Linked DNA regions of Oreochromis niloticus. The protein of the gene in region 1 binds, or shares a complex with, the protein of each later gene. Links are inferred from orthologs where the notes say so. Each region holds a gene or a part of one and is shown on either strand. Other genes may lie near its edges. The genes, in order: stx4, vti1b, sybl1 and stx18.

Evidence for each region.
Region 2: stx4 (region 1) and vti1b share a complex: the UniProt entries of both Homo sapiens proteins name them as parts of the SNARE complex. The link is inferred for Oreochromis niloticus from reciprocal best matches to the Homo sapiens genes STX4 and VTI1B.
Region 3: stx4 (region 1) and sybl1 share a complex: the UniProt entries of both Homo sapiens proteins name them as parts of the SNARE complex. The link is inferred for Oreochromis niloticus from reciprocal best matches to the Homo sapiens genes STX4 and VAMP7.
Region 4: stx4 (region 1) and stx18 share a complex: the UniProt entries of both Homo sapiens proteins name them as parts of the SNARE complex. The link is inferred for Oreochromis niloticus from reciprocal best matches to the Homo sapiens genes STX4 and STX18.

The regions. Positions count from the first base shown.
Region 1 is NC_031973.2:5,168,074-5,175,914, reverse strand, and holds the start of stx4 (syntaxin-4), read right to left. Parts: upstream 3,020-7,841; 5' UTR 2,837-3,019; coding exon 2,807-2,836; intron 2,455-2,806; coding exon 2,362-2,454; intron 95-2,361; coding exon 1-94. UniProt on the Homo sapiens protein: Plasma membrane t-SNARE that mediates docking of transport vesicles. Necessary for the translocation of SLC2A4 from intracellular vesicles to the plasma membrane.
Region 2 is NC_031983.2:21,977,734-21,985,085, forward strand, and holds the start of vti1b (vesicle transport through interaction with t-SNAREs homolog 1B), read right to left. Parts: upstream 3,012-7,352; 5' UTR 2,855-3,011; coding exon 2,758-2,854; intron 2,660-2,757; coding exon 2,601-2,659; intron 1,671-2,600; coding exon 1,476-1,670; intron 903-1,475; coding exon 729-902; intron 129-728; coding exon 67-128; intron 1-66. Other genes in the region: rdh12 (retinol dehydrogenase 12), read left to right, coding at 5,428-5,504, 6,086-6,204. UniProt on the Homo sapiens protein: V-SNARE that mediates vesicle transport pathways through interactions with t-SNAREs on the target membrane. These interactions are proposed to mediate aspects of the specificity of vesicle trafficking and to promote fusion of the lipid bilayers.
Region 3 is NC_031966.2:31,859,131-31,866,671, forward strand, and holds the start of sybl1 (vesicle-associated membrane protein 7), read left to right. Parts: upstream 1-4,539; 5' UTR 4,540-4,555; intron 4,556-4,820; coding exon of another isoform or gene 4,821-4,859; exon of another isoform or gene 4,860-4,937; intron 4,938-5,380; exon of another isoform or gene 5,381-5,569; intron 5,570-5,938; exon of another isoform or gene 5,939-5,980; 5' UTR 5,981-6,013; coding exon 6,014-6,159; intron 6,160-6,352; coding exon 6,353-6,410; intron 6,411-6,680; coding exon 6,681-6,818; intron 6,819-6,960; coding exon 6,961-7,051; intron 7,052-7,340; coding exon 7,341-7,408; intron 7,409-7,541. Other genes in the region: polr1d (DNA-directed RNA polymerases I and III subunit RPAC2), read right to left, coding at 2,500-2,576, 2,992-3,089, 3,921-4,013. UniProt on the Homo sapiens protein: Involved in the targeting and/or fusion of transport vesicles to their target membrane during transport of proteins from the early endosome to the lysosome. Required for heterotypic fusion of late endosomes with lysosomes and homotypic lysosomal fusion.
Region 4 is NC_031970.2:27,530,380-27,538,330, reverse strand, and holds the start of stx18 (syntaxin-18), read right to left. Parts: upstream 3,001-7,951; 5' UTR 2,927-3,000; coding exon 2,774-2,926; intron 1-2,773. UniProt on the Homo sapiens protein: Syntaxin that may be involved in targeting and fusion of Golgi-derived retrograde transport vesicles with the ER.

The DNA.
Region 1 (7,841 bases):
TCGGTAGCGCCTCGCCCAGCACAGTTTTCTGTTTGTTCTCGAGGTCAGACACCATCCTTTTGAGTTGCTGGAGCCCCTCGTGAATTTCTTGGACCTGACGATGACAGGGAAAGAATTTTAGGTTTCTTAGGGAACAAAAGAACTATTTTGTTAGCTCAATTTAACTCATATATCAAGCAAACATCATCCTATTCCCTCTGTCGGTCCTTATAGCTAAATGGGTGCAGCTGCCTCTGCTTACTATGAAGGAATGCCAACATAGGTAAGCTTTCTTTGCGTTAGCTGGCTCAATAACACCTAAAGTCCCCCATCAGAGACAATAATGGGTATCACACAGGCTTTCTGCTTCAGGCTCTGACTGCACTCACAAAACAAAGCAATACTGGTGCAGCAAATAATTCAGAGAAGCAGTGCTACAGAAAATTGTTTGTTTTGTGAATTCATGAATTAATATACCATCACATGAAAAAAAGTCCACTTCACGATTCAGCAGCTTGTAGAAAAACCTTTAGCACCCATAACTTGAGGTAATCATTTTCTTGTTTGGAAGCAATTCAACACTGTTTCAGGTCATTGAGGTTAGCAGACATTTGCTTATGCACAGCTCTATTAAAGTCATACCAGTCCTGTAAAGTAATGCATGAATAAATCTGCAGCGTAACCAGATCCCCTCTTAACCCTACGCCGTAACCTGACGTGCACCTCTCAAGAAATATAACTACATGCTGGGTCGATGCAGCCCACAACACGTGGAAGGTTATGGCGTAGGGTTAAGAGGAGGTTCCAGTTATGTCACAAGTTATGACGTAGTTTTCCCACGCATTTGATTAGCAGCACCTGGCTGCTACTTACCCTCTTATTTTCTGCCGAAGCAATAAAGGTTTTTGACGCGACGGCTGCAAGTTAAAGCTGTGAAATTTTAAACTTGATTCATCATAATATTCAGTGAATTCAGGACTAACAATGGACCATGGCTCGATGACAAAGGTGTGGAAACCACTTCAGTCTGTGGCCAAATCAAAGTCAACATTTTAAGACGCCAGCTACAAATTTTGACTTATGGATGGAAAAAGAAAAAAGTTCTTCAGTGAGCGAGCTTCCATGATTGCACCCTGTTTACACTGCTGCTCAGCTTTCCTCAGCATGAAAAACATAACCATACGTACAACATATTCTCAATCAGTGAAAACACGGCATTTCCAGACGATTTTTAACCAAAACACTGAACATAACCTTCTGCAGACCAGGTCATGTGTTCAGTCCAAGTTACTATAGTGATCCAGCCAAGTAAAAAGCCACCTTCATGACAGTTGAAACTGACTTCAGGCTCAGTATGGCTCACTAACCAATTAATCTGCCTTATAACTAGACTATTCATGTTAGTTGAACAACTGCTGATTTTTTTTTTTTTTTAAATAAAACACTTGCATACAGCACCGTTAACCCACTTATTTACGCAGTACAGTTTAAACTGCTCTGACTCCACATCTATTTAACCTGACACTGGATGTCCAGCCTCTGTGGCTCCCTGCCCTTACGTCCTTGTGTCCTCTCCCCAGATAACCTTGGTCCTTATCCTCCAGCTTCTCTCCTCCTGTTGGTGAATGGTGTCACTAACATAAACGTCTTTCTAAAAATTTATAGTGGCAAGAAGGTCAAGTGGATCAGGCTCAGAGGTCTCCTACTTTCCATGTTTTTGCTTTGGACCAAAAAAACCCAAAAAACAATTTCTATCCACGGGCCATCAGGCTGAATCACTGATGAACTGTCGAACATTAATTATTCATAATTGTACATTTGCAATTTTGTAGATTTATATTAACCTGTAAACTGTGTTTTGCTTGTAAACTTTTTGAATCTTGAAATATGAGAATATCTAAGGCATTCCTGAAATATTAGTCACACTTTTTGGACCTTTAAAATACTTTCTAGGGGGAGTTTTCCATACCAAGAATAAGACTCCAAGGACAAAAGGGTGAATATGCATAAAATGAGCAGTTTCTTCAAACCATTTTAAATCAAAACCAAAAAATATTCAAACATATTATTACAGAGGCCTAAGATCAGCGCAGAGAATAGTCACATTTTGTGATATTAGGTGACTAACTCTGGTTCCTTACTCATGACAGTTCGGGTACAAGGAGACTGGGATTTAGCAGACTATGATTTGTTGACAAAACAGGCTAAGAAGCATCAGCAGCAGTCTGTGATATTTAAGCCTCTGCAGTGCATTTTTGTCTCTCTTTTACACAAATGTGATATTCAGAAATGTGCGCAAACTACCACAGTGAATGAGGACAGTGCAGATCATTTGATTTTGGGGGATTTTCCAGGGAGAAGTGCGTGATTTTTCTGCCTTACCTTTTTGAAAAAGGCATCATTTTCCTTCTCTGAGCCTCCAGATTTGCTCATCAGCGCTTTGCCCTCCTCATCGTCATCCGAAGCCTCTGCGGTCTGAAGTCACATTGATTTTAAATAACATAAACAGAAGAAAAACAGTGAGTGCTTTCTCGCTGTCCGAGGATGTGAATCATGAGCCCTGCAGCCCTGCCCTGTCCCGGCCTGCCCTATCCTTTAAGGAGAAAGGACTGAAACGGAAGTTGGAAGTGAAACGTCAATAAAGTCAACTTTTATAAAGAGAAATATCTGCAAAAAAAATCCCACTTTAACCACTTTTTTGATTCCCTCTGCTGGTCTAAGTTGTCCCTGGAGACTCTTTGGTTAACTCGGGTAAAGTAGTGAACTGGGCTAACTTAGCCACGCTAGCAAGCTAGGGCTAATGTTAGCAGTTTACTTTGAAACTCACATTTCCTAATTCTTTGGTCCGGTCCCTCATTTTTCCAAAAGCGAAGGGAAGAAATCAAAAGTAAAAAAACGCTGCACTGAAATAAAGCGAGCCGCTCCCAAAGCGTAATATCCGCAAACTTCACGCCGCCGCTGTCATTCAACTAGTAAACTCCAGCGGCAGCGCCTCTTCTTCTGCGGCCCACTCAACACTCAACTCATCGACTCACTGGCGCCCCCTGTCATAGCAGGAGGAACTGCTGAAAGACTCCAAACGTAGGCTTCCTTTCTTCCCAAATACTCACTACGTAGAATAATCTAGGCATATAAAGATAAATATGTGCGAATATTTATATAGATCAATAAACATATATTGTCCAGATATAGTAGGGATATAAGGGTCGTGACTTTAGGATATTAAGATTAAGGAGGCACAGAAAAAGAAAGAAGAGAATAGATAATTTAGTGGACAAGTGAAGGAAAAGAGGAAAAAATAAACAGGAAAAGCAAACAAAGACGAACAACAATATTTTGGTCATGGGTGTTGTAATGTAATAACATGCAATTGTAGACTTTACAGAAAACAGACCTCAGAACTTATTACAAATTTTAAAATTAAGCCAGTTTTATAGGGCCAGTAATATTGCTCACTTACTCTTGTACTTGCAGATGCTGTTGATATGTCGACATAAGATCTAATGTTATGTTCACTCACTTGTTCTGTACCACCTAGGCACCAAAAGTTACATGTAGGTCATATTGTGGCAGCATTATAAACAGCGTGACTAAATTAAATTTAGAAACACTGATTTGTTCCAATCGGCCTGTAACTACTGTTTAATAGTTTCTACTGACTGGAGAACAGCCGTTGCCTGAGGAATCAAAATCTTTTCCTATAAAAAAAATAGATGAAAAAAGACATTACACACAGAGGCAGAAACAATTCAGTCCATAGTTTGCTTGTTTAAATGCCTAAAAAATTCAGATTTTGCTATAAGTGATGAATTTACAGGTGCAGTCCAAGCAAGTTGAAAGTAAAACCGTCTAAAATCTGCTGTCTCCTGCGTTGGCATGAAAAGTGCAGCCTCTGAATCTGAAGAGTGCTTTCATTCAGATCCAAATTATGTGAAGGTAACTGCACTAGAACAAGAAAATCCTGCTTTACAAATCCTGAAAGACGTTTGAAACTGATCCCTGCTGAAAGTCGGGAGTTACAACATTTTAGTTTAGGTCACAACTCTAATATCTGCTGAAAATCAAGAACTGAAATCTTGGAACAGCCTGCTAGAGCACCAAAATTGGAGTCTGCTGCAGCTCCATGACCACAGTAGACAGTGACCCTCCAAGAGTCTGCAGTGGTGCTTAAACTACCTGCTGGAAACATCTACACAGCCTATGGCACCAACACTGAAGCCCACTGTCTGCAGAAACACCACACGTTCTCCAAACTACTCCACCTCTTCACCCTGAGCTGAGTGACATCACAGTGAAAGAACCACAGGCTGCTTTAGAGCCTGTAAACACGAGCAGTGAATGTTATGTTTCTGAGAACTTCGAATTCAGTCAGACATTGGGCAATGAGGCAGAACAGATAACGGCCCTAGAGGAAAAGCATGCTGCCTTAGTCTTGGAGATAGAGCAGTTGAAAAGGACTGCGTAAAACTCAAAGAGATAAGGCAGAAAAAGCAAGGGTATTTCTTTAAGTAGAAGTTTACAAGAAAGGGGAAGTTGCACACAAATGTTTCCCAAAAAATTGGATCAACTAAAAACAGCTCTCAGCATTTAAAGAGAAAAGAAAAAGAATACTGAGAAATTCTCAGCACTAAGAGGAAACTAACAAACTCCAGGCAGAACTGGCCCAATGTTATGGAAAAATTCTAGTTTATCCTTACATGTAGATTTAGCTGGTTAGAACTTCACTGTATGATTTTGTATAACCTTTGAATGCTCAGATGAAGTATGTGTATGTGTCAGCATGACCTTGTGAAAACTGCTTAGCTTTGCTTAACGATGTTTCACTATGTTATCTGCTAACTGTTTTGCTCAGAAGGATGAAACTCAGGGCCAGCGCCAGGAGCTTCCTGGGAAAAGATAGTGGGAGTTGTCCCCTGTCCAGCCACAGCCCGTGGGACAGAAACCTATTGTAACTAAAAGATACACAGAGTTGTGTGTGGGGGGTATAAAAGAGAAGCTGAGACATCCCAAGGGGAAGAGCTGGCATGACTGTGAACTGTGATGCTAAATGTGTGTTGGCTCTCCTGCGCGCAGTAATAAATAGCTTGATCACAGCTCTTTCCGTGTTGCAGGCTTTACTTACAAAATTCTACAACACCCAACACCAAAGAAACCTTCAAGAACAAAGATCCCTGTGGGAGGAGGACAGGCTCATAGCTGTGCACTGATCAGGACGAGGGCGGCATCTGTAGGAACCTTGAAGCAGAAAGTGAGAGACTGACTCATGATTTGATGAACAGAGTAATGAAGTTTCAGTAATCAAAAAATAATCAGGAAGAAATTCTGCTGGATTTTTAAAAGAACACAAATGATTGCCTTAACTTGACCTCCGCCCCAACAATGAAACTTGTTTATGTTAAGTCAAATTGTAGAGCACTGCTTTCACATTAATTTATCATAAAATCTTAAAACAACTCATAAAATTAAACATTGCTATATCAATAAACCAACTGCGATCATGCAGATGCATTGTTAAGATATGGTTGTTAAACTGAATGAGTTAAATAATCTGCAGCAGCTGGTTCTTTGAGCTGCAGGACTGCTGGTTGTCCACAGGGTGGCACAATCTCCTAACCTAAACACAAATGTTACAGGAAAGCTTTAGTCCAGTGTCTCAAGCTCACCTTTATATATTATTGTCTATTGGAACAATGCAAACATGGAGAAGGACTGAAAATATGGAATTGGTGGAATGTTACTATGCCAGCTGACACAATAAAAAAGGTTATGTGCAGCACATGTGGGATCAGTAGAAAACCAACATCCACAATGAGCTAGAAGGACCTGGCAGCTCAGTGCAATAACATCAGCAGAAGATGGTTACTGTTGAAGCTGGAGATCCAGAGGTTACAGCACACTGGGAACAATGGTGAGCAGTATGGACATAAGGATGAAAGAGACCGGAGGTGGTTGCCAGGACCAAAGTTGCAGGGGGTCCAAAGGTTCCCTCTAGACTATTGGACAGCATACACCAGGGTGGGCAACTCCAGGTCTCAAGGGTTGGTGTCCTGCAGGTTTTAGATGTGTCCTTGATCCAACACATTTGATTTAAATGTCTAAATTACCTCCTCAACATGTCTTGAAGTTCTCCAGAGGCCTGGAAATGAACTAATCATTTGATTCAGGTGTGTTGACGCAGGGTGAGATCTAAAACCTGCAGGACACTGACCCTTGAGGCCTGAAGTTGCCCACCCCTGGCGTACACAGACAGACCCAAACGAGTGACTGGGATAGAACATCTGTGCTGCTTATGTACCGTTAGGAGACACCACCATCAGTGGTTGAGAAGAACTGGGCTAAGGTACTGTAGGACCCTCTGGGAGTTTGAAGGTTCTGCACAGCATCTGAGGTATATGTAAGACTGCACTCTTCTGAATACCTCTGATATGGTGCCTGAAATCTGCTGGAGCTGCTCTCCCAGTTTTGGGGTTACAACTCCTAATGCTCCGATTACTGGGAGCACTGGGACCACTTTGTACTTTACCTTCCTTCTACTCCAGATGTTCCTTCAGCCCTTGGTACAACGTTGTTGTCAAGCTTGTGCTGGATAGTGTATTGACGACATTAACGACTTTGGAACAGTAGTGTCAGCGTTCGAATCTAAGTCAGACATACATCAGCTGCTACCCAAGGAAACGTTCATTAATTTAAAAAAATATAATGATAACTCTATCTTTCTTAAAAATGGCGAGAACAATAGCCACAATGATCAATATTCATTAGAAATAAATGTATCTTTGGCAAATCCAGGAAAACTATAGATGCTTGTCATGGATGTTTGGACATCCTCTGTCAGCATGTTTCAGTCTCGCTGTCTTGCAACTCAGTACGTCCTGGTAAAAGGGCTAAAGTTGCACTCTGGAAAGCTCTCCTGTCTCGATCCTTATTACCTTAAATATAAAAGAAATCAATATACTGCAGCTTTAGATGCAAAAATTAGATTCAGTTCAATTCAGTTCAGAAAAGAAATAAGTGGCTCAGATATTACACCTTAGAATGAACCCAATTTAGCATTGTATGTCTTTAAGGGCGTCCTATTATACTCATTCCTGTCTGCTCTGCTAAAGTAGCTCCGCATGATTAACAGATCTTATTTTAGAGCACGATGTAACTTAAAATAAGCCTTTTGCCTCCTTCCTTTAAGCCAGTGGGTCTCTAATTTTGGTGTGTGGAGAAACGTACAGGTGGAACATGGACACGGGTCCATGAGGTGAAGCTAAGCTGAATGAATATGACTTTTATTTTCAAGAAATTATTTTTTCACAGACTCAGACAAAAGTTTGAGAACCACAAGAGTAGAAAAAGATGTCTAGTGTTTAGAGCGGTCTGAAGCCTGGGATCTGGCTCTGGGATTACTTATTCATAGGTCCTCTGGAACTCATTGCACTCTGTAAAGTCCTCCCATGGGTCTGATTGGACCCTTCGGCAACTCATTTCTGTCCCCCAAGCCACATTTTTGTCATCCCTGCTTTTATCAGTGTGTGTCAGGCTTGGAAGAACACTCAGCCAATGAACTATCCAACATTAACATTATCTTTGTTCCTTGAATTTTTAGTAAAGTTGTCCATTCCTGATACTTGCACAGAAAATGTGACTGTAAAACTAAAAACATTTGATGTATTATTGTTCACAGACACACAGGAAAGGCAGAGATGAGATCATTTCATAAAGAGTATATGCTCACAGAATTCTCAACAACGTCCTTATTTAAGACTTTTATCTTGATTTGAACACATCAAATGCTGAAACAACACCATTAATGAGCTCCCCAGAGCTGCTACAACTGATAGAGTTTTATCTCTCTTATTGTCTTTCTTTCACTC
Region 2 (7,352 bases), on another chromosome or scaffold:
ATTTAATTTGCATTAAAAAAACGAAGGAACTACTGTGGTGTAAGACGTCTTGTAGGGTGCACTTACCGCCTCGACATTGCACGAAGAATTTTTCTACTACGACTCAGATTCTCTCCAGTATTCGCAAGCTACAAAAACAACAAGACAGAAGAGTTTCAACAAACCTACTAATCTCAGATCATATCGTCATCCTACAGTACTGTGCCAAAGTCTTGAGCAACTATTCATTTCTTTATAGTTTGGTAGGAAAATAGGAAATATATGCAACGATTTATTGAAATGTGCAAACATGCATGAAAATACAGCACATAAGGTAAAAACAGAGTTTTTATTTAAAATGCTAATGAGCTTGAAAGTTAATATTTAAAGTTTTAGTTAGGTTAAAATTTTTAAGGACTGCACAGGATAGAGAGATATGTCAGGCTGACAGCTAGTAGCTTTTTGGAAATCACATTTTTAGTCCAAAAAATAGTATTTTATGCCTGTTGAACTGTGTTATATTTGGCATTTTTCATATATTTGACTAAAAAATTTGAAACTAATAATGTGTTTTTGTGATAAGTTGTCTGTCACGTGTAGACACATCAATACTGGTTCATCATTTGATTTAGGTGCCTTTTTAAGCTTAAACGATTCATAGGTCAGTGACATATAGACATCACAGGTGGCTAAAGACTTTTGCACAGCACAGTACAAGAATACAAGCGTAATAATGATTCTCAGCTCACTCTGTTTCTGGTTCGATCCAGCTGTTCCCTCTGTTCTCCCAACTCCTCGATGATATCTGTGCCAATTTGCTCTGTCTCAGCAGCGATGCGCTGGCTGCGTTCAATACTCTGGCTGGCGTTATTTAGAGCATCCGTACCCTGAAGAAGCAACGCTCTCTGGGACTGCAGGTGCGTCTACAAAGATGGGGAAAAGCGACAAATGAAACCAAGTTTAAGCAGATTTATTCTGGAAATACACTTACATAGACATTTTGCTGTCATGACAACTTCTACAATTCCAATGCATGGCTTTAATAAGATCCACAAGGATCACTAGGAACCAGGGTTGACATTTTTCTCTTACATTTTATTTAATTTAAACAGTTCTTGCTTTTAATTTGTCATTATTTTCTAACTGCAGTATGAATGTTGTTATCCTCTGTCAAATAATACAGTCTGGATCTGTAAGTGCTGCTCAAAAATAAGCCCTTATAAGTTGAGAGGATTTTGTGTCAAACTGATGAAGATGTTTTCTTGATTTGTGCGTCTCCTATTTGTATTTTTTTCTTATGTTACAGCACACTGATATTCCTCAGCAAAAAGAGGAAGAAAAAAAATACACACCCAGAAAAAGTCTTACCCTACACATGCAGCCTGACATAACAGCAACATCATAAAATAATGTTTTGTGCATCCAAACAGACTAGGGACAGGGCCTGTCACACATCTGCAACAGCAAACCCAAGCATCCCAAAGCCCCTCACTCACACTGTGCTGATTTTGTGAAGAGTAGATGCCATGATTTCCTTGCACTGTGTTGTACGAGGAGCCAAAGCCAGGTGCTGAGTTTTTCATGTCCCTCTGAAGCTTGCCGAGGTCTCGCCGGTACATACGCAGTTTTGTGCTCATTGAATTTCGATAGGACAGAGGGGCAACGCGCAGCTCCTCTTCCATTCCTTGTAACTGGAGAAAGACAAGAAAATGTTATTGTTTGAGAAAAAGACAAAAAAGGATCTTACTCCATAGAAACAAGGATATATTATTAATGTATTCACTAGTTTAGGCTTAACCTCCGTAAATCAGAACATTTCAGTGCCGTTTGAATTAATGTACAGTTAAAAATCTATTAAAATAGGGCATACTTACCATACTACAGAGAGCTGTTAACTAAATTTATTGAGAGCTTCTTTTATTTTGGTTTTATTCTTATAAACTTGATGGCTAACATATTAGAAACATCCCTCAGATTTTGATAATATAGGTAATAAGGTCGCTTTGGTGAGAGTGACACATTCAATCTAGTCAAAAAAGCTTGGAGAAAACCCCCCCAAAAATGTATAAGCAAATATCCAACCCTGGTGCTAGCACAAGACTCAATCATGTCACTGCATCTTTGTCATGTCACTCACTGTCTCGTTCTTTTCCAGGTTAAACAGGTGTTGGTAACAGGTTTGCACATATGTTGTAGGACACAATTTGGAGTGCATAATTCTTAAATAACTATTTAAAATATGTTGATGTTAAACAATGGAATAACAGTTATAAAAGATTTGTGTCAACAAAATGAAAAAAAAAAAAAGTTGTTTTTTTTTCTCTTTAAACTTCACTGTTTTACTTGAAATGCATTGTGGTTACCAAAAAGACTGGGCAAGAGAAAAATGCCTTTTTTGGGGTAAAATGTACACTAGGTTTCCATTTTGTATTGAACAAGTGTTATTTGCACAACAAATGCATGTATTATTTTGATAATTCACTATTTCTCTGGTGGTAAATTTCTTAAAAAGTTAATTTCAACCTCAATTTAAGAAAAAAAGTGTATTTACATGCAAAAGACATAGCTAGTAGTCAAGTGAACTTTAGCTAGCTGTAATGGGAAAAAGATAAACAGCTCACCACTTCTTCAGCCTCCCCATGTCTCTCATCAAAGGTCCTCACCAGCCTCTTCCTCTCCTCTGCAGGAGTGACAGTACAAGTGTTACTTAAAAGCACATAACTTATATTCCAAGGCGTAGTTATTTTGCTAATCTCGGCTTTATGAGCAAGTATTTACCTCCGTGAGATTTCTGAGCCTTGTCTGGCATCAGCTTCAGCTCCTCGTACAACGATCGGTACATTTCGTGCAACTTCTCGAATTCCTCCGACGACATTTTGCGTGTCGTTTAAATTCCTTTCTTGTGATATTATTTTTGTCTTTTATTGTAAAATACAACACTGTTTATGATCACAAGTTTAAGTATGTAGTTTTGCTAGGACTATAATCAGATCCTCGGGATTCTTCCGGATGGTTTTCGACCGACCGTCGTAACTCCGGAACAAAAATCAAACGTACTAAAATGTAATTATTTTTACTAGATATGAAATTGAAAAAATATTTTACAAACACAATTGTGTAGGAATTTAAAACAAAATAGTGAAATGTTGTGGAAAGCGTGTTTTAAAATCACCTGGATAATTATTTAACAATTATTTCATTCAGGCGCTACAGAGACAACGTTAATGGGGCTTTCTGGGAAATGTAGTTTTTAAACCGGGCTACTTGGGAAATGTTTGTTTATTCGGTTATTGAAACTACATGGATTCAGAGTTCCCCTCGTTGAAGATGGAGGAATATCCACATAGTAAGTGTCTATAACGAATTTTAAAGTACAGATCTATTTTGAATGTATAAATAGCCTGTCTAAATGGGTGATTAATCATGTATTAATGTTTCAGAGAGCAGGGGGAGAGTATTATTTCATGTTTTTTGTTTTGTTTTGTGTTGTTTTTACCTAAGACATCAAAACATCACTGTCAAAATAATTACAATGTATCTTATTGAAAGTTAAAATGGCACATTAAGGACCTGTTGGGACTTATTATATATATTCTTGTATAACAAATACAACTGTTTAACACTGCCCTCACTACTATGTCATAAAAACATCCTCATAAAGGTTTACAAGATGGTAGAGACACCTGCTATGGTGTATGGTTTGGACACAGTCCTGCGAGGTCTGTGAGGCAGGAGGAAACAAGAAAGACCAAAGAACAGGTTCATGCAGAGGGCAGGTGTGACAGAAGAGGAACAGGGGATAGGGTGAGATGGTGGCAGATGATCCACTCTGGTGACCCTTAAAGGGAGGAGCAGACCGAAAAATAAGATTTCCTTTATATTTATCAATATTAATTGAATATTAACAAACACTTAGAGCATAAAACTTGCTTGTTTTATTCTGTAAGTGTTAGGCACACACTAACAAGTCTGTGTTAGGCACGGTGGTAGAAGACTTTGCATGAGTGGGACAAGTGTTTCCCACATTTGCTGAAATGGCAACCTAGGTGCCTTTACAGTCTTATAACCCCACCAACCCCTGTGTTGATTTGCGTTTTAATCTCAGTTAGGTAAGAATAACACTAAACACTTCTAGTGCTATCTCACATAGCCAGTTTAGAATCACTAGTTAACCTGACATCCAGGTCTTTAGGAGGAGGCCAGGATACCTTTAAAACACAAAGTTTAAAGTTCCTGGGTGTGCACATAGACACAGACTCCCAATGGAGCTCAAACACTTCGGCGGTTGTAAAGAAGGCCCAACAGTGTCTCCATTTTCTAAGAATCCTCAGAAAATTGGACCTGAAGAGGGAACTGCTGATTGTCTTCTACTGTTGCTCCATTGAAAGTGTGCTGACATACTGTATCTCTGTATGGTTCTCCAACTGCACCATGGCACACAAAAAGGCACTTCAGAGGGTCATTAATGTCTCCCAAAAAATCACTGGACATCCTCTTCAGGCTGCTGAAGTCATGGACAAAACGGACTCAAGAACAGCTTTTACAACAGGGCAATAGCCCTAAGCAATGCTACCAGCTGACCAAATTTGCTACCTCGCTGGACTTTTTTTTTTTTTTTCCTGGGGGGGGGCAGCAATAACAACAACAACAACAATAATAATAACAATGATAATGTGCAATAAACATTCACTCATTCTTTTATTTATTTATTAAGTTATTCATTTTTTTTGCTCATACCTTTCTTCCACTTTTAAAAAACTCCACTTTAAGTTACTGTGTTGTGTTATTACAATGCATCATTGTTTTGCATTTTATTTGAAGGTCCCCTTTAAAGTCCAGCACCACAAAGAGGTAATTACACAAAGATGCCATCTACAGTTGCATAAAACCGCAATTTTCCTTGAGCTGACCCAGAGTGGTGAATCTAAAATCGATTTGAATAGATGTGGGTAAAATTTGACCCAGAGCAGCCTCAATTTTTCTGTATTTTAGCAAATTTCATTAAGCTTCCAGCTTAAAAAATGACCTATAGGGGATTTTTACTGCTGTTAAATGGCTAAAATATAATTCAACTGACTTTCTGTGTGTGCTTAAGACGGGGCAGATGAATTACATTTACCAAAAAATTTGAAACATTTGAAACAAGTGACTCTGTCTTTGTCTTTTTGTTGTTAATAATTTCTTAACTAAATTTGGTTAATTTCTTTTTTATGACATTTCACTTTAAAACCACTGCGCCCAGCTGCAAACTCGGTGTACCCTGTTACGTAACGTCTCCAGTAGCCGTCTTGTCACGCATCGAACTACAATCCCATGATCCTGTGCATGGTTCAACCTTCACCCCATCCGTTTGCAGCTCGCACCCCCATTCCTGCTTTGACATCAGCTGTTCCGCCTACACTTCGGTAGCATCCTGCTGGAAGAGGCAGAGGAGCGCAGATCCATAGCATGATGTTCCTTTTATTAATTATCGCGGGCCTCGGAGTGGTGACGCTGCTGGTGATTTTATTTGCACCACAAATAAGGTAAGCGCCCACTTCACGCGCTCAGTCATTAGAATTTAAACGCAGAGTTTAACACTGGATGTCAGGGCAGGTTATTACTTGGTTAACAAGACATTTAGGTGGTGTGTTGTAGTTATTACGATGAGGATCAGTTTGATTAATGAAGCCACATGATCGTTATTTGTGAATGCTTTACGTTAATGGTGATTTCACATGAGGCTGCTGATCAATGAAATAGAAAAATTGAGCTGTGGGAGGGTGTTTTTTTTTCTTGCACAGATGAACCGGGTGTCTTCCGTCTGAGCTGCTCGGGCCTATCAGCAGCCGGAGCGTGGGAGGAGTTATATATGCATGCAACACTCCAAGAGAGCTATTGGTTATGTGGCGGCACTGCTCACTGGCGTGTGTTTCGCACCACTTGCACACTTCACTATCCAAGTTTTTGTGTGAATAATTAACCCGGTTTCACCACAATGCCAGCTTTAACGGGGGCATAGCATGTAGAGACTGCAGAAGGAGCTCCTAGTCATTTAAATGGAGCTGTCTGCTGCATTTGATGATGCAGAATTTGTGTAGTATAAATCAGTCTTGTTTGTGTGCAGAAAATATGCAGCAGGAGGAGTGTGCAAGTCCACAACTCGTCTTGATGGGAAGACGGTCCTCATCACTGGAGCCAACACAGGAATTGGGAAGGAGACTGCCCTGGATCTGGCAATGCGAGGTGCCTCTTTAAATCCATAACCTGCTACTGAGAGAAATCAGCAGTCTCTTAAAGCAATAAGACTGAAATCAGCGTCCTTGTCCCATTTAAAATATACATAATAAAATGGACCATGGTGTGACACAATTAGCTGTTGTGGTCTCAAGGAAATCCTCGCTTTAAATGTAGTCACATAAATACTTGACTTGTTGTATGATTATAATATGGTCAATATGCCATCAGTCTGGGTTTGGAAAAGGTATAAAGTTTTATTTTGGTTTCGTTAAGAAAAAAACAATTCAATCCTATGAGTGGGTCATGACCTCCAACCGTAGCTTCAACCCTAACTTCATGTATTAGGTGCGAGTGAAAGGGATTGATGCATGTCGATTAGAATGATTCGTTTTTTTCTCACCTCATTCCAAATACTCAGGGGAATAAGCTTTACAAAATGTTAAAGAAATACATAAAAAACATTTACATATTCTGAAAGCACAGGATTAGGACTAGGTTTGTCGCTGATGATGACTCACAGTGCCATTAAAATCTTAATAATTTGAGATAGAAGGCAACTGCATTTCTTTAAAGTTTGTGAAGAGGCTTCTTTAGTTCTGAACTGAACAATCATTTTTTTTCACACTGGGTCAGGTCAGTTTAAATTGCTTTTTTCCCCCCTTAATAAATTATATAATAATTTAAAAGCTTTTTTGATGATATTTAAGCGTGACAAATATGCAAAAAAATCTACGGAATCAGGAAGGGGAAAATACTTTTTCCATGGCACTTTATGTTAGAGTGGATTGTTAAATGTTGTCATTTTTATGCTTACCATCTCTACATTGTTTTAACTCTGTGATGAAAGGATTCTTCTGTCCTTCCCCCAGATTCTCGAGGTTCTGAGTGGGGGGCTGTAGTCTTTTATTACAGGCAACATCCTTGTGAAGGTCTTTTTGATGTTTGGTAAAACTTCTTGCCCTTTGTATGGTTTCACTTTGTTATCTATGGTAAACAATACATTGGGTGTGGGGGAGACTACCCTCTTTATGACCAAGGATGTTGCTCCTGCTTTTATGACCCTCTTTGGTCAGGAGGAGGACACACACACACACACACACACACACACGCACACACATTCTTATTTACATACAGAAGTTCACACATATACATAC
Region 3 (7,541 bases), on another chromosome or scaffold:
CACTGTGACATGTGATCGTTACAGAGTTGCACATTGAACGAAGCATTGAAGTAAACAAATCTGTGTTGAGGATTTTTTTTTTTAGAATCTAGTTACTCGATGAATCGTTGAAGCCCTAAAACGCTGTCACAGAGATTGCTGACATGCTCGCTTGTCCTCATTCCAGTCACACGTACTCACTTGTTCACCAGCACACGTAAACATGCACACACACACACACACACACACACACAAACTAAATCTAGCTCATCCAGGTGATACAATACTGTCAGAACTCTTCCTGCTAATCTAAGAGAGCCAGTGTGTAATTTTTGACAGATATAGTTTGCACTTAAACTACTAAAAGCAATGAGCAGTTCATATTAAAACACCTGTTGGGGTTTTAAAGAGAGACAAATCACATGCTTCCGTTTGATAACACTGTCATAAAATAAAATGATTATCATATTATTGTCTATGAGCTGGAAAGCGAGGAAAGTCCCTTCTAGCTGGAGTCTTACTACAGATAACAGCCATCAAGCTTCACTCATACCCTTTGTACATCAAATAAGCCACATGTGTAGGATGTGACTTTAAAGATAAAAAAGAAAACATTTTTAAAATGTTTATTTATTTTTAACTGATTCCTTTGATTTGGATTAATCAAAGGAATACTCGGCTACTGAAATAATCGTTAGCTGCGGTCCTAATCTGACTCGGTACAACCCAGCCATAATTCTGGCTGCAATCAATCAATTACAGATGTCTTGATCTTAATCCGTGTATAAAACACATATTTTCAATTTTATTCCATTCCAACCTCCTCAAGAACAAGCTTGGTGAGAAGGTGCAATTATTCACAAATGGAGAATATAAAATGACCATCACTCGCCCTCAGTTTGAATCTCCATGCAAGATCTTACCTCATGGGTGAGGACAAGAAAGACGATGGATAAGCCCCAAACTAAAGCTTCTCAATGACCTTATGGCAGCTGGGATCACAGACCCCAAGTACACCAAGTGGTAACACACTACGTAGTAACGGATTGAAATCTTGCAGCACCCACAAGCTCTCCCTGCTCAAGAAGGCCTGTCTTTAGTTTGCCAGTGAACATTTAAATGATTCAGAGAAGGTTTGGGAGAAACGCCTGCGTTCAGATGAAACAAACAACTAACTCTCTGGCTTGTGTTTTAAAAGAAGAGAAATGCTGAGTTTGACCCAAAGAACACCATCCGCACAGTCAAGGAGGTGGAAAAACTATGATTTGGGGCTGTTTTTCTGGTAAAGGCACAGGACGACTTCACTGCAATGAGTGGGCGAAGCTACGTACCATAAAATTCCTTCCCTCAGCCAGAACACTGAAGATGGATCCAAGTCACGTTTTTCTTGGCGATAAAATATTTTTTCACTCAAACACAAGCAAATCAACTCATAACTTTCATGTAATGCGTTCTTTTCTGGATGTTTGGTTGATATTCTGTGTCTTTCCATTTAAATAAAACTGCCATAAAATTAGAGGCAGTTTATTTCTTTGTTAAAAAGTTTGTATATTCAGCTGGAGATTTAATAATTACTCCCCCCTGTGTACGTGTGCCAAAATCTGGAATAGAAATAGTGAAAGTGGGAACTAATACATGGACAGCTTTACATAAAATTACATTAAGACATGAATAGAACGCCCGACTGAAAAAGACAAAGGAAAAACTGAACTGAGGCCTGGTTAAAAGAATATTTCCCTTTTTCTTATGCTAAACTAAATATAGAGCGACACAAAACCGGGATATGGGAAATGAATGTTCCTCATGAGCGTCTGTGCAAGTGCAAAAAAAAAAAAGAAACAATTCAGGATTGTGTCAGTGATCGTTAACTGAATATGCTTGCTTTTGTTGGCTGCTGTTGAAACCAAGCTGTCAATTTTTAATGTCGCTGCGCTTGACTATCTTGTTTTGATAATCTAAGCGATTAACCAAAAAAAGATGTGGCATTAAAAAACAAATGAAAAGAATGCTGCGGTCCTCCTGGCCCCCTTTTATCAACTGACACGGATGACCTCAATCCAGCGTTGTGATTGCGGTCTTGGTGGAGAAATTTAACGACCAAAATAAATACAGATCATTTCAAAGGCCGATCTGATGCCCAAAAGTGTAGTGAGTATTTTTTTATTTCTCCTTGTGCCTCGAAGGTAATCGGGTTTAGCTGTATTGAAGCCGTGAAGAAAAAAAGAAACCTCCAGGCAACCAGAAACTTGGTTCAACAACAAAAACAAGCTGTTTTCTCAGTCTCGCTGAGTCCTTTCATGTGACAGGGCTGCTCTTATCTTTTGTGAAAGCGGGTGACAGATTTTTTTTTTTTTTGCAACCGTGCAAGTGGTTATAGCTCTCAAACTTAGGGCGCGTGTGTGTTATTATTTGCAGTATATCCTGATCAGCCTTTTTACCTTGCAACACTGGCCAAAACCCTTTATTCTCAATAAACACAGCCTTGACGGAGCGGTGCGTATTAACAGAGACGTCTCTCACCTCGTGTCTGAATGCGAAAGTTGATCTTGCTCTCTGACGGATGGGTGATGGTGTAGCCGCAAAACTCCACATCCGCGCTGGCAAAAGAGAAAAGCGGGGAAATGAAGGTGAGGTTTGCGAGCATTCTCAGAGTTTTGCTCAAAAAAAAAAAAAAAGACTGGTAATGACTACATTTTTTTACATTAGCAGACCCTCTCCTGGCAGGATGACAAGAGAGCCCCCAAAACAGGGAAGAGGGAGAAATCACATGCTTCCTTTTGATAACACTGTCATAAAATAAAATGATTATCATATAATTGTCTATGAGCTGGAAAGCGAGGAAAGTCCCTTCTAGCTGGAGTCTTACTACAGATAACAGCCATCAAGCTTCACTTTGAACGTCAAATAAGCCACATGTGTGGGAAGCGATTTGAAATATAAAAAGAAAAAAGAAAACACGACGGTGACCATGCTGAGTTCAAAGGGGGAAAAAACCAACACAAAAACGCTCACTTCTTCATGATCATGTATCTGAGGGAGTTCCCTAACGTATGGTCCTCGTCGTGCAGCACAAAAGTCACACAGCCCTCATCTGCCCCGTCGGCCTGGACCTAGAATGCAAAAAAAGCCCATTCTTTAAACATCGCACAGCCAACATGGAAGAGAAACATTACACCAGCTTCCTCCTCTGAGATTAGTGAGTGGGCGAGCCGCTCACGCTCATTATGCACTTCCAAAATATTCAAAACATACAGAGTTACAGATGCAAATAAAAACAGACACTGATTACATGCACAGTTGGGTCCAAGAGTATTTGAGAAAGGACATGATTTTATTTGATTTTTTTGCCTCTGTACGCCAGCACAGTGGATGTGAAATTTAAGAGAGAAAAAAAGAAAAATCAAGATGTGACTTGGAGCTTTAATTCAAGTGTTTTAACACCAAAAGTGGACCTACTGTGCACTTTTCCAGCTCCATATTTTGCTCACTGGACTCTTTGTTTGGGTCACATAAAATTTTCTCATTTTTAAACCAGGCCTTTTTTTAAACTCAGGCCTCATAAACTTTATCAAACATCTACAACACACAATTTTACCCCCGTTCCTCCTTCTTTTAGGCCAGCCTTCATCTGATTGGCCACCATTCACAAAGTGAAGATCTGCACTGGAGCAGCTAGAGCTTATTTAAAGTGCCTGACTTGTCCATGTTAGGGATATCCACTCTCAACAGGAGAAACAATAGTTTGTTGTTTAGAGTAATATGAAGCCTGAACTTTTTAGCTCTTAGGAGTCTTTTTTTAAATGTACAAACACTAACTTCATTATTTTCAAGTTTTTGTTTTCTTTATGGAAAACCATCAAAGAATTGCAGCCATTTTTATACGACAACCCACACTTTTACAGCTGCGAAGGCATGCAGGCCTTCACTGCGTTCGTCTTTACCTGCTGTTTGTTTGTGGCCCTCTCTGCTTTCAGTTTTGTCTTCATCAGTAACTGAAAACCATGCTCTGCTGGGCTGAGCTCTGATTTGACCATTCAGGAACATTTCATGTCTTTGCTTTAGGAAACTCTTGGATTCCTTTCTGTCTGTGTTTTGGGTTATGGCACTGGAAAGCACCGTCTTATCAGTTCTAAAGCACTTTGGCTGAATCTGAGCAGAGAGTACTCCCTGTACGCTTCACAGTTCATCCTGCTCCTTCTATCAGCACTCACATCATCAATAAAAACCAATGATCCAGTTATACCGGCATCCACACATGCCCATGCAACAACACTGTCTTCACCATGCTCAAAAGATGATGAGGTCCTTCCCCTCTTATCATAGTATCCCCTTCCAAGGTAGTTAAAGCAATACTTTTAAACCCACTTGAATTAAACCTGAAGCTTCATATTTCATTTTTAATTGGTATCTTTATTTCACATCATCTGAGGTAGGAAAATTCAGAAAAATGCATCACTTTCCAAATACTTATGGCGTTTATCTTCATAGGATATGAACACTGTTTAACTACTGCCCCCTACTGGAGATACTGTTAGGTACCCGTGGACTGAGAAAAATCCGCATCTAAATTAAACAAGTAGGTACCCTCATGTTCCAAATTACTGTTTGTCTCCGGTGCTGGTAATGCTTCAAAAAGACAGATTTTAGCGTATACTTAAGTTAGATTAACGCCGGTTAAGTTTATTTACTGCTAGCCACTGTAGCTACCCACGTGAGGAGCGCACAGGCGGTCAAATCGCTGCCATTCGCTTTTTTGGTTAATCAATCCGATCTAGAAAAAATAAAGACGAACCCATCCAACCGCGCACACCATCAAACCACACACGATTTTCGCTTTTTACCATTTCTAGTACTGCTTTCTTTTCTCCTTCCCCGGCCATGCTTCACTTTCCCACCGCATCCGTCAACAGAGTAAGGTTAAGTACTGTGCTCTTTAGCCCTGAATCTGGTTTGACAGGCAAAGGAAAGTTCAATACGACTGAAATTTACCTCAATGTTTTGGTAACATATGTATGATTGTAGCCATACACTATCAAATTATCAGATAATAATTTTCATTTAAAGTGACGCAGCTCTGTGGTTGGTAGAATATTTGTCAAACGCGTCGTTTGACAAATATTATATTTTTAATATTTTTAATATTTTTAATATTTACCTGATAAATATTTATTTCAATAAAAGCTAACCTGTTGAGCAATTAACAATGGTAAGTTTTGTCACATCTCTATCTGCAGGGGAAAGCGTTATCTAGCGTTCAAGTCGCCTGGAAGACTCTAACAGGGCGAAATTCGCGCCCCTTCTATAACAAGTCGTTTATACGAAGACGTGACGATGGAACTACGTAATATGTAACTGGGGGTAAAAAGAAAAATGTAGTTCCAAAAGGGAAACAACGACGTTAAGTACATAGAGCCAGAAATGCGGTACGAACTACACTCCCCGGCACGCGCTTGAACGTGTTTCCGGTCTGGACGATTTGCTTAGCAGGCAGAAGTCACTCGAAAGGGATTAGCCAACTAGCAGCTGAAACGTCTTTAAATGTGGGAATTTGCGCTAAATGAGCCACTTTAATCGTCGTTGAGACATCCAGGTAATGAATATGATGTTATGTGACTATTACGTACGTTAGCTCGGTAGCTAAAAACAACCAACATGGCGTCAAGCGGCTAACTACCTTTCTGACGCTGATATGTACGTTTAATGGTCAACAACAGTGTTAGCTATCTTGTTGTTTCCCAAATTTTGGTTCATCTAGTATTAGCTGGCATTTTACTCTAGCATGACAGCCTGCTCATGATTGGGCATTTTCCTAGGGCGTACTAATGGCAGTAATTGGATTTCTTAGTTACACCTATTCACATGTCATTTTATTTCCTTCTTCCTGTTATCTGTAACTATTTTTGGCTGTTTCACAAGAATTATTCTTCCCTAATCATTATCGTTTGGGTTTACCCCCCAGCCCAGCAGTAACAACTCGCCTTCCTTGTCCTTCTACCTCCAGGGAGGTAATAAAGGTGAAAACCCAGCTGTTGCCATGGCAATCCTGTTTGCTGTGGTGGCTCGAGGAACCACTATTCTTGCCAAGCATGCATGGTGTGGGGGTAACTTCCTGGAAGTTACTGAGCAGATTTTAGCTAAAATTCCCTCAGAGAACAACAAACTGACATACAGCCATGGCAGGTAAGGGCGTGTGCGTGTGTGCGGCCTGTGTCATCTCCAGTTGGCAGTTTACATCCTGTTTGTGACTGTGCCTACGGCGGTGTCATGTGATAAAGTACCACAGAGTTCATTCCTTGTAAAAACTGTAGGAAAAACAGCCCTACTGTATAAAACACCTCTCATCTAACGATTAACCCTTCTGCTTTATTTCTAGCTATCTGTTTCATTACATCTGCCATGACAGAATCATATACCTGTGCATCACGGATGACGTAAGTATATATTTGACAGTCATATATTTTTGTCAGGGGTTTGGATTTGCAGTAGGCCATTTGTAGATGTTATGAATGTATTTTAAAAACCTGAATTAGTATAAAAATAAATATAAACCACCCAGCCACTGTAGGAAATGGACACATGTCCTGTGTTATTGTAGAAAACCTAGCATTACTGCTGTTGCTAAAGATGAGATAGGTTTTGAGGCAGCCACAATTGATTATATGCAACTTCTTATAAACCTATTTGACTCTTATCTTCTAAAGGACTTTGAGAGGTCACGTGCATTCACCTTCCTCAGTGAAGTGAAGAAGCGTTTCCAGACAACATATGGCTCACGAGCACAAACAGCCCTACCTTACGCCATGAACAGCGAGTTCTCCTCTACACTGGCAGCTCAAATGGTGTGTATGATGAAAGCCTGAACATACCAAGCAATGTTTCCTGTGACAGCTCTGTGATGTCTTAATATTTCTGTGGTTTAAAAGAAAAAAAAGGAAACAGAAGAAGATGTGAAGAAGTGTGACGTGTTCCTTTTCTTTGCAGAAACACCACTCAGATCCACGTGGACCCGATCGTGTCACTGAGACTCAGATGCAAGTGGACGACCTGAAGGGCATCATGGTCCGCAACATAGGTGAGCGTCTCTTCAATTTCCTCATTTTGTATTTATTCATAAATAAATAAATAAACAAGGCTCTGAGATGGAAAAACCTTAACTTAAACTCTAATAAACCAAGTTAGATAAAACCTGTAATGTGTGACTGGTGTGTGGTGTGACTTTCGCCCTTAAATGAGTGCAGTGTTGTATCATGAGCGACCACCTCACTTACAATGCATGATGTGCTGTGTTTAGTGAATTACTCATATGTATTGTATTATGTGTATTCACACTAAATTCACTGTTTGCATTCATTTTTTTACAGACTTGGTAGCTCAGAGAGGAGAAAAGCTGGAGCTGCTGATTGACAAGACAGAAAACCTGGTTGATGCAGTGAGTTTAACTACAACTGATTAGGCTCTGTTGCTTCTACTTATTTTCTGATGAATGACATTTGTCATTATGTATATACTGCAACTGCAGTCTATTAAACAACAAATATTGTTACTGATTACATTTTTTTCCT
Region 4 (7,951 bases), on another chromosome or scaffold:
CACCCTGCAAACACTGGCCCTCTTATTAGTCAATCAAACCCTTTTTGAATCGACTTGAAAGTAGCTACATTTCCTTTCTCATTGTGTTGACTTTTGAGTGGAAAAAGAAAAAAGTCTCAGAGGTCCACTGTGTATTTGTCAACTTTGATGTTTTCTTTCTATTTTTGCGAAGCTTCAATGGGAATTTAGGAGGGAGAGTTAGTGGGAGAGTTATGCATGTCTTGAAGGGCACCCACATCTGTTGTGCATTAGGTGCCGGCCGTCAACATTGTTACTGGGGACCTAATTTAATATTTTCTCTGTTTTGATCTTCCACCTTTAATCACTGGCTCTTGGGAGGATCAGCTTTCCCCAGAAATTGTTTGAGAGCCGAAAGAAAATGTTATTGCAGCATGTTTACGGAATCATACATGGGAAGAGGCGACCTGCATAAAAATTACTGCCTATGTGATGCTGAATAGAGACAGAAAAGGATAGCTGAGCTGGGGAGACGTGGGTGAAAACCGCGACATAACTGTAAGCAGTCAGGACATTCCAAGCTCACATTTTCAATTTAGGCAAAAACGGCTTCACTGAGATGGTCGGAGATGATATCTGCAACGCGAAGGAGACAGCCACCACAGGATAGGTTTGGGTTTCTCTTGAATAAGCAGCAGTGCCTTTATTAAACCACCATTTGTAATATCAATGTAACAGAACATAACAAAAACCTGGTTGTGCAAAGCTGCAGCAAATGGGCTTATGTTTGCCTCGGGCTGATGGCTGGAGACATCGGGTACAACTTAAAGCCCTGACTCCCCTTGGGATACGTAAAGTGGTTCTTCAAGGTACCTTTGAAGAGGTTTGTTTTTGAGATATTCATGTCAGGCCAAAGAGCAGCAGTAGAAGTATAAGCAACATGTACACTGCTAGATCTTGTACCGTCAACCATAGAGGATAGGTCTGTATTTCAGTGGAAAAAGATCATTTAAGATGTTTCATAAAATGAGATCCAAAGCTGTTTTTCCCCAATATATTTAGTCTTATGTGAAATCCTACAAATAAATTGATATTATTACAGTATTAGAGGAGATGAAGTCAAAATTCCATTACTGACAGTGTATTAAAAAGCTAGAATTTTTCAGTGAGACCAAGGTCATTTTAACTGGGTATTGCCAGAAAACTAAGAAAGGAAGAAAAGAAAAACATACTTCTTCAGTCGTGTAGCTGTTCATATTTATATGGTTTCTGAAAAAAATATAAACTGCTGATCCAAGCGTGTAAAACTTTTTCTGAATATCAGTTGCAGGCTTTGTGTTGTGGAAAATAAATTGCACAATTTACAATTAAACTGCAATATAAATGAACTGTTCTGATGAAAAGAAGAGGCTTCACTGAGTTCAATGCTATAAAAAGTGTTTTTTGTTTTTTTTTACTTTTAGCTTTTATTGATTAATCTATAGGAAGGCTATTGATGTGACAATTTTGTCCTTGAGTGATTTTTTTTCATGATAATTTGGTCAGATATGAGAATACAGACTGGGAGACTGCACACCAGCAGCTATGAAACAACATTTCTGGCTTATTTCTCTCCCTGCGTTGCCCACATCTATCAATCTGTGCCAAGACTGTTTTTCATGAAGTGGAGTATGCACTTATAATAACTGCATACTCCAACAAATGCAGTTATTATAATAATAACCAGGAATTGTAAAACACAGTTGAGCACACGTAGTAAGCCTGGGCATCCCCAGATAACTTTAATGAGTGAATATTGTATTCTTAACGCCTGGCTACAAAATACTAAATAAAAGTTCAATGTGAACAAGGTTTCTCATCTGTAAAAGTTACCTGTAGATTACCAAAGTATATACAGGAAATGGCATAAGGTGAGTATTTCTCTTGCACTCTGATGTGTTTGTTTCTAATTTCGTCTAACCTGGTGACTCCCAGTGAAGTCTTAAGTCTTAAGAAGTCTTAACATCTTCAGTTCGGCCTCCGGTCGTTTTTGTCAGTGCCACCACCTCCAAGCCATACATCATAGTAGGTCTAGTCTTGCAAACCTTCCCTTTCCCTCTTGGTGCTATCCTTCTCTAACAAATCACCCCTGATATTGCATCAACCTTCTTCACCCTGCCTGCAAACTCTTTTTCACACCTCTTATGCACTATCCATTGCTTTGGATGGTTGACCCCAGATACCTAAAGTAATCAAACTTCAGTACCTCTGCTCCTTGCAGCTTCACTGTTACACCTGTCTCCCTCTCATTCACACACATGTATTCTGTCTTGCTTCTACTGACTTTCATCTTCTCTCAAAGCATACCTGCACATCTCCAGGCTCTATTTCACCTGCTCCCTACTCTCAGTACAGATCATCAAAGCCGTCAACAAACGATTAACTGGCCACTTATCGTATTAGTCAAAAAGAGCAATAATCAAATCCTATATATTTTAAATCTCAACATATCATAATATTATGTAATCTATGACACATTTTGAATATAATTTGCATATATTCAATGTAAATTTTTAAAAATCTAATCAAATTTAAGTTCATACTGCATTTAGCAAAGTTATAGCCTGCACATGTTGACAGGCCCGGCTAACCACGAACAGCGCCAACACACTAAAGAAAATACAAGTGGTAAGCATCGTATATGCACTGTATATGTTCCACTGGCTGCTGTTGCTCCTACAAAGTAGTAGTAAGTTTAGAAGCTGCCATTAAACGTAAAGCACTTTGGCCACTGTGCTAGCAGAGTTAGCTAACGCTAGGCTGGATGAACACTCACCACTTCTTTCGCCCTCGGTGAGAAGCCACTCTTCGGTCTGCTTCTCTTGAAAATTTCATCTTTGGTCGAGTCGAAGCCAATTCCTATGGCTTTGTTCCTGGTTTTGACCGTCTTAACGCTGGCTTTGAAAAGTAGCGTGATATCAACAGCCATGTCTGAGCAGCTGCAGCCGACTGCTCACCGCTGTAAACAAACTGACACGTCACCCGGTGAGGACGTCATCTTCGTGGGACGCGCTAGATTTTTCCTGTAATACGGGTACGAAAGCGTTACGTTTCACCTTAAAGATTTCATCAGTATTTATTTATTATAACTAATATTCAGATCATAATAATTGAATTCTGCCAGAGTCCGATCGTATATTTAAATACTGGTCGCTTAGAATCAACTCTTATAGGGAAAATCTTTAAATATCTTTAATTTTAAAAAAATCTCTTAATATTTTAACTGAAACCTTGAGTCTGAAAGCATTAACTTGAAGCCTTTACCTGTATGTGCCACGAATCAAAATTTCAGCTTTGTTTTAGGCATGTTTTAGGGAGCACCAGTATAACAGATAATCCATCACAGATAATCAATCTGTGTGTATCTCCATTAGATAATTGCCTCTAAAGGCTCTTGAAGTGATGTCCAGCAGAATGCAGGAGAAGAGAAACAGTCAGAAGAAAATATAACACTGGAGAATACAAGGGACAAGTCTGGGAAACGACAGTCCAAACCATAAATGCTGCCATCCCACAGGTCCATTGTACAGTTTCAGAGTGCAACAAAAATGGGAAAATCTGATTGCAAATACAAGGGAGGAGATCAAACGACAGAAATACACAGAGGTAAAGGTGAGGAAAATCAACGTGTTGAAGCAAAATTTATAGGATAGTGAAAAACAAGGAAAAAGCATTTAAACATAGAGAGACAAAGTAGGGAGTATGCATGAATGATTTAATCAACTTGCTATATTTATCAATAAATAATGCAAGCAATGATTCTTTGTTAACAGATAAAAGCCTGTCCATTGAGCAGTTCATTACAGAGACCCGAACAGTTATTTCTGTAATGAACCTCTGAGACGTGCTACAACAAGAGAGATACGACTCTTTAGCCCCACAGCTGATGGAAACTCTTAGTTTATCAAATCAGAACGAGTTTTGGGGATTATTTACTGAAGGTTTTCTGAAAGATTGCCCATTCATTTAAAATTTAAAATAACATTTATCAGATAAATTAATGGATAAAAGTTTTTATTCATGCTGTGTTAGAGATGAAAATATTCCCACAATAGATGAAAGATTCCCAAACAAGAAGCAGCTGACACAGTGACAGCTCCCCACATATACGAATATACGAATCTCTGCAGCAGAACCAAAGATGGCATTTAGTAATGTAGCTAAATCACTGACGGTGCTGTTGAGAACGCCACATGCTACTGACATTACCGACTCTAGTGAACATCTGGATACTTCTCATTTTACTTCTCTATCACCAGCACACCGCACAATCAACAAATTAAACTATACAGTTTATCATTTTAAATGTGTGGTTTTTTCTGTGAAACGATACGAAATATTTAGTCTGAAGGAAGACACTAGTTTTGTTCCACCTCACTAAGGAGGTGTAAGATACCTCCTGACCTGGTGAGCTATAAGAATATTTATATGCCAGTGCATTTTTAAAATACACACATTCAACTTATTTCCGAGTTTTCTGCCACCTATGAATGCAACCCGTGTTCCTACCAATGGGCTGATTTATGCTGTGTGGGATTTGTTGGATGGTTTTCAATGTCTTTGTGGAGACTTGTGCTCAGAGACTGTGCAATTTCTGAGCTGTGCAGTGCAGTTTTTCTACACTCCCTCTACCTGGTAGCAATGTGATGAATAAGGAAATGTTTTGATGTTTATACTGACAGATGATGGCTGCATGTTGGTGCTAATCAAAACTAATATTCATGCCAGAACTTCTGTCTGTTGTTCTAATGATTATATTTTGGTATTGTATTGTAACTGCCACAATAATGAGTGATTGTCAGTACAGTCAAAACAAACAAACAAACAAAAAAACCCCAGTTAATGCAGTGTGGTAGAATTTTGTTGTCTGTTTATATTAAAGTACATCAGTGTAATTACTGGAGGCTAAGATGCATAATAGCTTTGCTTTTCCTCCTGATTACGCAATTTGTCGTGTAAAAAGAAAATCAACACGTTAACTCAGAGCGCTTGTTATCACTAAAAATCTCCTGAAAGATACTGTATTTACTTTAAACTTTCCATTCAAGACTGCATTTAAGCTTGTGTTATTTGTTTTTTTGGAATGGACATGAAGTTTTAGATTTTAAAGATAATCCATGTTGCAGTTACTGATCAACAGTAGTTATAGTAAAAGAATGGGGGGTGGATCTAAATTGCCTGTACATATGAATGTGAATGATTGTCTGGCTCTCCCGGTTAGCCCTGTGACAGACTGGCGACCTCTCCAGCCAGCCTGTACTCTGCCTCACACCCTATGACAGCTGGGGTAGGTTCCAGCCCGTCTGTGGACTTGAATTGGATAAGCAGAAGAAATTGGATGGATGGATGTAGTACTTGGGAGCAATATAGTGAAAACAGCAATATAGTGCTTTTTGGTGAAGTGGCACAGTGTTTTAGCACTGTCACGTTACAGCAAGAAGAGCCTGGGTTTGAATCCACTAGCTGGCTGGAGACTTTCTGTGTGCAGTGTGTATGTTCTCCCTACAGTATGTTACTATGGGTTCTCTCCAGGTACTCCAGTTTCCTCCTACAGACATGCATGTGTTAGGGTAATTGGTCATTCTAACTCTTTCCACAGGTGTGAATGAGCACAAATGGTTTTCCCTCTGTGTTAGCCCTGCAAGAGACTTGCACTGTGTACCCTGCCTTTTGCCTTCTGGTAGCACAGATCCAAGACCTCTTGTAACCCTGGATTAGATAAACAGAAGAAGACGGATGATTAAATGGCCACATAAAGAAAATTTTATGTAATATTTAAATATTTTTGCAGGGAATGAGTTATCCCAAATAAATACTGAATTTCAGTTATTTTCACATTCGGCTTTTCTTTGTAGGAGGCAAAATTTGTCTCTTTCTTCTTCTGTTAGAAATGTAGTTTATTTGCTGAGTCACCTAATTCACTCTTAAGTGCAAATTTGGAGACTGTCAAGATTTGACATATACAAATATACATATTCATAAAACTCCAGCCTAATCTTGCCAGTATAAGTAAAGCTAGAATAATGTCCTGTCTAGACAAATGTAGCAATTTGTGTGTACTATTTCTCATAAATCTGTTTATTTGCAAGTGACTGGGATTGGCACTCAGATATAAGCAGTTGGGCTTAGAGTGTTGAATAAAAGTCTGTTATTTGCTATGTGGTTTGCTCATTTCCTTTGTTAGTGTTGTGCCAGACTGTTTTACAGCTGAGTGCTGCGACTGTCTCACCCTTTCTGCAGTCTCAGCATTTAAAATTCTTATAGTTTTGACTTTAGTAAGAGTGTATGTCTTGAAGCATGGTGTGCATGGGCACGCACAAAGGAATGATTGCCTTTAAGATGCCAAAATGTGCTGCAAGAAATCTAACCGATCGCTGAATTTTCACTACGGTACGCATCACACTTTACTAAGCTAGAAGAAAAAGGTGACTGAATGAAGTTTCAGGAGCATATTTTCTTTCATAGATCCACTATGTGGTCCTTTAAGTGCAAAAAGCCATTCTTTCTGTAATTAAATTTGCTCTCTAGTGTAGCGGGTCTGAGCTTTAATAGAGCTTATTGATGAGCTACCCTTCACTTTAAGGGAATATGCTAAAAGTCATAAACTGGATGCAGTATATCAAGCTGTTTTTTTCTATTAGCATTCCCAGCTGTTTAGTTATCACTTCTAGCTTATTAGAGTGGCATGAAAAAGTATTTACCTCCTTTGTGAGTTCTGAGTTTTGTTTTTGCATTTGTCAAACTTAGATGTTTCAGTTTCATCAAACAAATGTTAACATTTGACAAAGATAATCTGAGAAAATACAAAATGCAGTTTTTAAATGATGATTTGTTAAGGGGGAAAAAAGCTATCCAAACTTATCCTGGCCTTGTGTGAAAAAGTAATTGGCCCCTTGTTAAATTATAAATTAACTGTGATTAACCACAATTTTTTGGAACACAAACAAGTTCAGTTTCACTAAACACACCCAGGCTTGATTACTGCCAGACCTGTTGAATCAAGAAATCACTTAAATAAAACCTGTCTGACAAAGTAAAGGAAGCTAAGAGATTTCAAAGAGCAGCACATCATGCCATATTTTAAAGTCATTGGCATCTGTCAGTCTGGAAAGTTTTACAAAGCAATTTCCAAGTCTTTGGGACTCCAGCAAACCCCAGTTAAAGCCATTATCCACAAATCAAGAAAACTTAGGACAGTGTTGAACCTTCCCAGGAGTGGCCAGCCTGCTAAAATTACTCCAAGAGAACATCAACAGCTCATCCAGGAAAAAAAACCCTCACTTGCCATAGTTAAGGTCAGGGTTCAACAATAAGAAAGAGACTTTCACACAACACAAACACAAAAGCTCGTCTCACATTTGTGAAAAAAGGAAAAAAAAAAAGCATCTCTAAGATTATCAAGACCTTTGGGAAAATATTCGGTGGACTGACAAAATTTGAACTTTTTTTTGGATGGTTTGAGTGGTTTGAACACAGCATTTTATAGTAAGATCATCATCCCATGAACCATGAATTCTGCTCTCTATAAGAAAATCCTGAAGGATTGTTTGTGCCCTGAAGCTCAAACGAACTTGTGTTATGCAGCAGAACAATAATCAGAAAACACAGTGGTGTTCTTTCAGGGCAAGCAAGGTAAGCAGTGCTTGCCTTATCAAATCTAAAAATATACATAAATTAAATCATACCAAAATGAAGCAATCCCCCCTTTAACCTCCGACAGTGCTTTTATAGAGCTACTTACTTGTCAATTAATATGAGCATTCAGCCTTCACATTACAGCCATCTTGTTGCTGCAGTCGACTATTGTTGCAGTAAGGTGTGCTTATTTCAGTCTCACAGAAAAGTGTAGTCGTCTGTGTCTCTGAGGGCGTGTCCGTCTCCTGTTTACAATGAATGAAAGCAGGAAAGCTGAGAGGTCAGTAGCATGTTTCTGTGAATAAGCTGCTCCTTCTGT